Linked DNA regions of Nothobranchius furzeri. The protein of the gene in region 2 purifies or fractionates together with the protein of the main gene of each other region. This does not show direct contact. Links are inferred from orthologs where the notes say so. Each region holds a gene or a part of one and is shown on either strand. Other genes may lie near its edges.

Region 1 (4,119 bases), on a different chromosome or scaffold from region 2:
ACACACACACACACACACACACACACACACACACACACACACACACACACACACACACACACACACACACACACACACACACACACACACACACACGGGACTGTCTCAGCTGTTATTTTCGTTAAGGAGTGTGCACGTACCGCATGCACGCCTCATGCACGAGCCTACTATTGAAGCTGCCGTTACGCTTTTGGTCTGAGGGGGCAATAAAAATTCAAGACTCCGTAAAGTCCCTTTAAACCAAGGTCTATAGCTCTTGGGTCATAAACTATGAGCTATAAGTATATTGGTCTTTTTATACTGGGAATCAGGAGTTATTTTAGCGATCATCTTGTTTCTTATTTATTTTTGTCCTGATTATGCCCCGAGCAATTTATTGACAGAATAACAACAAATAAAATCAACATAAATTGAAAAATCGTCTTAAATAATCGAGATCTCAATTTCAGTCACAATAATCGTGATTATTATTTTTGCCATAATCGAGCAGCCCTACCTACAGTTGAAGTGGTAGCAGCTAATGCAGTGGCTTGGTAGCAGTGGATTGGTGAGACCGACAACCAGATGGTCCAATCGTTGGTTTCAGATCGAGCCGTGTTATTGGCTGAGGTTTTCAGACAAATGAGCACCACTCGTTTTTTTTTTATTGAAAACTAAATATTTATAGCTATATTATGTTAGAACGTTAAGAGGCATGAAAATATGTCTTAGCTAGCTTGTTCTGCAGATTTGCCATTGTAGCTTTAATTAGGACTGAAAGGTGCCCACATGAGTGATAAAAGAACTAAATTGCAAATAAAATAAAACAATCTTTTTAAAATATTTTGAGACAGCAGCAATTCAGTGTGATTCCAAGTGAAAATGAGCAGTAAGTGTTGAAATTTTTTGTCTGCAACGATTTGCCCAAGTTGTTCCCAGTGAAACTCGACTAACTACCAGATACATAATTTATTTTATCCACTTTAATGACAATACTTCAGGATCACAGCATTTACTTAATTCACTGCATGTTCAGCTCCACCCTGGTGGATTTTCATCTACACCTATGTGGCTTTTATTTAGATTAATCCTTGTTCCAGTAACTTATAACACTGAATTCCCTGCAGGAATGTAATTTTCGATTTTATTGGTTTTATGTAACTTTCAGAATAAGGCTAGGCTCAACAAGGATGTGCCTAACTTTTAACTGGCTCTACTAAAGAGATATCTTAAGATCTCCATAAATGAGTGTTTCTTCTTGGAAGCTCTATTGTCTATTTTTCTTCATTTTTAAGTGCTGAAGGTTATGGTGATAGCCTAGTGCCTATGTTTATTTAACTGTATTATATGTTTATATTTCTCCAAGTGCATGTGTTGCCTTAACAAGTGAATTTCCCCACTGTGGGACTAATACACTCATTTCTATTCTATTCTAAATAATAGTGAATATCGGCACAACATATTGGCCAACCATTGTATCTGGTCTATCTCTAGTTGGGTCCCTAAAAGTGGATTGCAATGCACAAAGCTGGGGTACTGGCATGGTCTCCCAGAGTAAAAACATAACTACAAATTATTCTTATTCAGCACAATTCATGCAAGAACCCAAACCAACACTCAGAAATAGATCTAAGCAGTACATTATATATATTTCAACATCCTCCTGTTCAATCATCTCTTCAGCCATATCTGTAGTCCAACCAGTGATGCTTGAGATCATAAGTCCTAGTCATTTGCTCTTTAAGGGGTCAGTAGCTATTTGGGAATCGCTTGAATTGATGTCAAAGTGGATAAATCTGAAGCGGACCTCTCGGATTTAAACTCCTGCAAGGCTTTATTTCTTGTTTTATAAACGCCGCGCAGATGCAGCTGTTGGGTTTACTCATCTTATTTGTAGTTGTTTACGACTGTAGTTATGGAGGACCGGCCGGAATGTGTTGTTTACATTGGTCGGAGGGAAATCTGCCGCGTAATACTCACAGGGTGACTGTTCTGTTGGGGAAGGAATCCGGGGCTAACACCTGTTCGAGCTCCATGTTGCTGCAGACCACTTTCCGGTCGGACGGCAGGCTTTTCCCGCTGCCTTTCGGCCGCTCGTCTGATGTTTTGCAGGCGGACTGAGCCGCGGAGCCGCTCAGCAGCAGCAGCAGCACCAGCCAGCACGTCCTCATTTTCACACAGAAAACGACTGCAGCATTTGCAAAAAACGAAGAACGGCGTGGTATCAATCCCGATGGTATAGTTAGTGGAAGGGCTCCAAGCGATGGAAAAGGGAAATCTCTGCCAGCGGTGTGATGTTTGGCTCAAGTGATCCTTCCTCTTCCATTTCTCTCACTCCGACCTTATTTGTTTCGCCAGGGGCTCATTTATAATTCCATCTCGGTGTGGCGTAGACCCAGCAACACTTAATAACCACGCACATTTAGTTTAAAAGGCTCAATTTGGTTGCTAGCTAGCATTCCCAGTCTTTGTTGCCCCTACTAGCTTGTGTCCAGGTCGCGTTGTTGTCTTTTCCACGGGAGTCGGCTGCAGTCATTCCAGGTTATCAGCTTCCAACTTCAGGAAATACCTTCTGGCGTCTTCTTGCTTACTTTAACTCCACTGTATTTTGGACTGCGAACTAAACCAAACAAATATATACCCGAGTACATTTATCCACCGACAGTCGCAGGAAATTACTTTAACAAAAAAGCCCGAAAACAAAAGAAATGTCCTAGCTAGTTCGGTAACGCTTCAAAATGTGAAAAATAAACAAAAGACGACGAATTTATATCCCGAATAGTTACTGTTGTAATGTAGTTGTCATTAAAATGTACTTAAAAGCATCTCAAAACTTGTCTAAAGTTAACTCCTCTAGTGGTCGTCCTCCTGTCCCCGGTGTTAAGCTGAATTGTGTCATTAAAGCTAGTTGGATCACAACCACATCCGGGTGGACTTTCAAAATAACACTGCTGAGATTTTATTTAATGTAACTGGAATACTATCAAAATAAAAGGCAATTCAGGGTTCTGTTTAGGTTTCAGACAACTGCAAAAACAAAACTGTAATTTTTAGCTTCAAATTTTTAAATAATGTGACAACCTTAAAGCAGTTTGTTTTAAAATCAAATTTAAAATACACGAATAAAACTAGATTTAATGGAAAAGTAAATACAAAAACGATCGATAAATGACCTACACTTTTAGAAGGTGCCTTTCAGAGTCAGAGGTCTCCAGTGTGTCACACTACAGTGTATCATTCATTCATTCACACAACTGGTGATGAGCTATACTGTAGCCACAGCTGCCCTGCATGAGGCACAATGACAGAGGCCAGGCTGCCAAGCACTGGTGCCACCGGCCCCTCTGAGCACCACTAGCAGGCAAGGTTAAGTGTCTTGCCCAAGGACACAACAGCAAAAATTTCAGCCAGGAGTCAGGATCAATCTTACAACCCCCCGATTATTGGACAACCCGCTCTACCTCCTGTGCTCCTGCTGTCCATAATATAAAGTCTGAGCAGTTACAGTAGAAAGAGCAGCATAAGCAACAATCCTTCAAAGGCAGATGACTAAAGTAAAGTTTTAAATTTAGATTTAAATTTAGTCACTAGAGCTGTGGTTTTTCTTTTATGATACATTTGTATAACCAAGCTCAAGGTGCAGTGATGAACGCTGCATGATATAGTGAGTTCAGTAAAAGAGAAGCATGCATGGGGACAATGTTACCATAGTCCAGCACAGAGAGGAATTGACTTTGCAGAATTTTCTCTCTGGCTGCAGAGGGCATGCATTCTTTGCAAACAAAAAACCCATTTTTTTAAAGGCACCTCTCCATGCCTTGTTTTAGAATAGAAGAAAACTAATCCTTTATTCTCCCACCCTCAGTGAGGAATTTTTTTATGTAACAGCAGCAACGTAGATTCACAACAAGAATAAAAAATAAAAAGATAAAAAACGTATACTAAATAAAAGACAATATATGTAAAATAAAAAATTAAAGGTTGAATAAAAATTCAATAGAAGGATCACGTTAGGAATTAGGAGTGAGAAAAAGTTTAAAAAAAAAAGTAGGAAATTACTGTATGACCAGGTTCAGTACCAAAAAAAATTGGATTGGATTTAGTTAAATTCAATTCAGTTTATTTATATAGCGCCAAATC
Region 2 (3,652 bases):
TGTTTGGGCTGGGGTAACTGGACACGCAAAGAGCAGGAAGAGTCACTGTGAATTTAGAACATCTCCAAATGACTCATCAAGACCAGGCTTCTCACATGGAGACGCATTACAGGATGCAACATGATTTATTGCTGTTGTTTACTCATTAGTAAATTAGGATCTATAGCAATAATCTGATGTGTGAGGCATGCCAGATTTGTGTGTGTGTGTGTGTGTGTGTGTGTGTGTGTGTGTGTGTGTGTGTGTGTGTTGTAACAAAGCTATTTTTAACACTAACTGATAACGAATGACCTGTTTGATTAAGTAGCACCAAGGTTATGATAGAAAGCCATTAAGCAAGTAGTACAGTACGGTAGTAAGGACATTCACACTTTCAAAGATCCCTGTGTGGACATCTGATTTTGTGTAAAAGTCTTGAGTAACCGCTTTCCAATCAGACACCACAGTGGTTATACCTGACAAACGAGCCACTCCAAAGCATAATGCTGTGTTTTAAAAATGGCTCCAGTCTTCGATAGATTTACAGTAATTCATAAAAACATGTTTCATAACTTTTACCCAGGTGTTCATCAATAAAACAGTCTAAACACCACATTCAATCATTTTTCCCCAACATGTGTGCATTGGTCTCTAGCAGAAGTGAATGACTTGTGAGTCCATCTCTGTGGGGGAAAAAGCTCCGGTGCCCCCGTTTCAGGAGGTAGAAGTGAGCTGAAGATGGAAGGATTTGGAGCCTTACTTCCTGATCATCTTACTTCTGATTGGGTTTTTCTCAGTTTCAGTATTTGTAAACTGTGAAGACGGGTGAGTCCTTGAATGCTGTGAACACAACTCTAAATGAGATGAATAGCAAGAGACTGTCAGCTGTTTGATTCGTTTCCAACAGCAGCTGAGCGGAGGAGCTGCCTGCTCCAGTGTACACTGGGACTTGTAGTTTTCGTGGTTTCTGGACATCTGTAGGTCAGATTTAATACACGTTCATCCTAATTGTTAAGTGAGGGACATGGGGCATGCAGGCCTGGAGAGCTGATAAGATTTATAAAACATTTTAACACAAGTCTCTACAAAACCCAGAACACAGGTGGTTCAGGAATCCATTTACACAGAAACACTCTTCAAAATGCCCTTTAAAGCAAAATACCTCTGCTGACAGCAAGTTATTTCCAGTGATGAGTGAGAAAAAAAATACATTTGAGTCCCTTTCACCTGCAACTAATCCAAACGCCAGCAGAGGGCAGCCTGAAGCTGCAAATGATGTTCAAGAAAAAGGAGGAAAAAAAAACAACTTCATTTCTCACTTGATCTGTGACCTCAGTTATCTGATGAGAGGCAGGTGAACTAATGAAGCATGATTCTGTTAGCAACAACCCTGTTTACACTGGAGGGGGGGGGGGGGGGGGCACTTTGTGGCTGACGGGCAACAACTCCTGCAGAAAGGATAACGGCACCAAAAGTTCCCAATAAGTTCCCCTGATAAACTCCCTGACATCGGTTATAAAACCAAAACGCTGACATTCAGGATTAAAAATGATCTTGAGGAAAAAGCAAATGATGTTCCAATTCATTTTACTTTGTGGTGAAGGTTATATTATTTTGTGTACAAACCAAACTGGTAATGACGGGGTAGGATCGTATACGCTTATACTCAGGGTCCGAAATTAAATGTTTTACTCACCGGCCAAGTTGGCCGGTAGATGATGAAAATCTACCTGCCAAGCATATTTTTTACCGGTCAAAATCCTAAATGATTTAGATCTACCTAAAGCATGTAATTCTATATTATGTTGATTCCAAACAGAGTGACAAAATAATTAAAACATCAATTAATAAGAAAAACAACTATTTTGTCATTTTTACTATTTATTTATTTATTTTTAGAGATGTTTTTATGAACTCTTTCATTGAAATCTAGTCAGACTCCTTGTTTTCTCTGTCCATGAAGTCTGGCCTCCTGCTTCTGACACCGTCTTTGTGCCAAAGCATTACAGCCTCATTTGGGTCCTAGTCCTTGATCTCTGGAGAACACAGCTGCACCATGAGAACATCTGAAAGTGTGTCAGGGCTAGGGTTGCCACGGTAACCGGTGTAGCGGTAAACCCCGGTAAAAAAGTTGACAATAATAATAACCGTCTTGTTTTTAAAAAAAATATATATATTATCTCGGTGGATTACCGTGGCTGCGGTGTAGGCGCGATGACCCTTACCAGCCACCGTATCATCTGGAAGTTGCCGGCGGCACATGCGCACTTTGTTGTTTACGACCAAAACTTTCTTTAAGCTAAAGCTGAAATAATGGCAGGAGGAGACGGCAGCACTCGGGACATTTATTATCCCTCAAAGAAGACAAATTCGGAAGTACGGGCATTTTTTGGATATTTGAAGAATGCCGAGGGACAGTTGTCTGTGAAAGGCAGCAACGCTACGTGGCCATCATAATGTAGCCATTGTCTCACGACTCCGCCATCTCCAGTTCGCCACTTTTCACAAAATCTTCTGGTTGCCACTGGTCCTGGTGGCTTTTCTTCCAGTTCGACGAGTTTTCCTTTGGAAGGCTGGCTGACTCCAGTTAAAAACCGCCACATTTCACCGCTAGTTTTAACATGAAGCTAACTGCTAACTTGATAAACTGATTGAATGGGATAGGTGGAAATGACGTTGGATGCTGCGCTCACGTTTCGCGTACGTTTGTGTACGTTGCATGCAGCGGGAGGAGTATCAGAGATCCATGGAAGATGACTGATAAACATAACTAATTTGGTGCAAACATTTACTCGCCAAATGGAGCAATTTACTCGCATTTGGCGAGTGTTAATTTCGGACCCTGCTTATACTTCTCCCTACTCCCTTTTGGACACGTACATGGTAACGGTATAATATCTCCTTGAAGTGACTGGAGATGTGGACACAAAAGTGTCTAAAGTTTATGGCTTGCTTTGTTGGTGAGACCGAGGATGTGCATGTCACAAAATAAAATAAATAAATGAAAATGAAATGTTGCTCATATTTAGCTCCAAGCATAACTGTGTTACATGCTAACCTTTTCTAGGATTGCATCAAATTAGCGTTGATCACATCCACCCAGTTTCAGCATAGAAGACTGCTTTATTTAACATGAATTGCTGCCTGATGCAAAGCACATGGTGAAGTCATTCACTCATCGCCTAGACACTTAACGGGTCACAGGACCGGAGCAACTTCAAGAGCTGTGCTTCTTCTTACAGTCTTATGATACCAATACACCTAAATAGATTATTCAGTCATGTATGAGGCTCAAAAAAGCATCTGCAAGATGTGATTTAGCATCAGGTTTAATGGTTTTAACAAAAGTGAGAGTGGGAAGATAAAAAAAAGTCTTACTGGTGACGGAAGCTGCATTGTTAGGAGTGTCGGCCCTCAGGTACTGTGTGGTCTGTGTGGATGGTTGAGACAGACCCTGTGAACTTCCACTGTCGCTCACACTGACACACAACACACAGAACCAGAGAGAATCAGGAGCAGTTCACAGCTAATAAAAAAAAACGAACAACCAGACAAGAAATTGGTCCAACCTGTCTTCCATCTCCACTCTCTTCACGCTGTGAAGGTGGAGGATGGCCAGGATGATGGCAACAAGAAAGATGACGATGCAGCAGACGCTCACACTGATGTAGAA

What was found. Proteins that work in one complex are often made in the same cells at the same time.
Region 1: the proteins of ryk (region 2) and adgra3 purify together in Homo sapiens (affinity purification with mass spectrometry; 3 studies listed by BioGRID and IntAct, with this or other methods). This does not show direct contact. The link is inferred for Nothobranchius furzeri from reciprocal best matches to the Homo sapiens genes RYK and ADGRA3.

The regions. Positions count from the first base shown.
Region 1 is NC_091742.1:70,968,352-70,972,470, forward strand, and holds the start of adgra3 (adhesion G protein-coupled receptor A3), read right to left. Parts: upstream 2,871-4,119; 5' UTR 2,151-2,870; coding exon 1,960-2,150; intron 1-1,959. UniProt on the Homo sapiens protein: Orphan receptor that may have a role in planar cell polarity pathway.
Region 2 is NC_091756.1:60,550,152-60,553,803, reverse strand, and holds part of ryk (tyrosine-protein kinase RYK), read right to left. Parts: coding exon 3,549-3,652; intron 3,459-3,548; coding exon 3,358-3,458; intron 1-3,357. UniProt on the Homo sapiens protein: May be a coreceptor along with FZD8 of Wnt proteins, such as WNT1, WNT3, WNT3A and WNT5A. Involved in neuron differentiation, axon guidance, corpus callosum establishment and neurite outgrowth.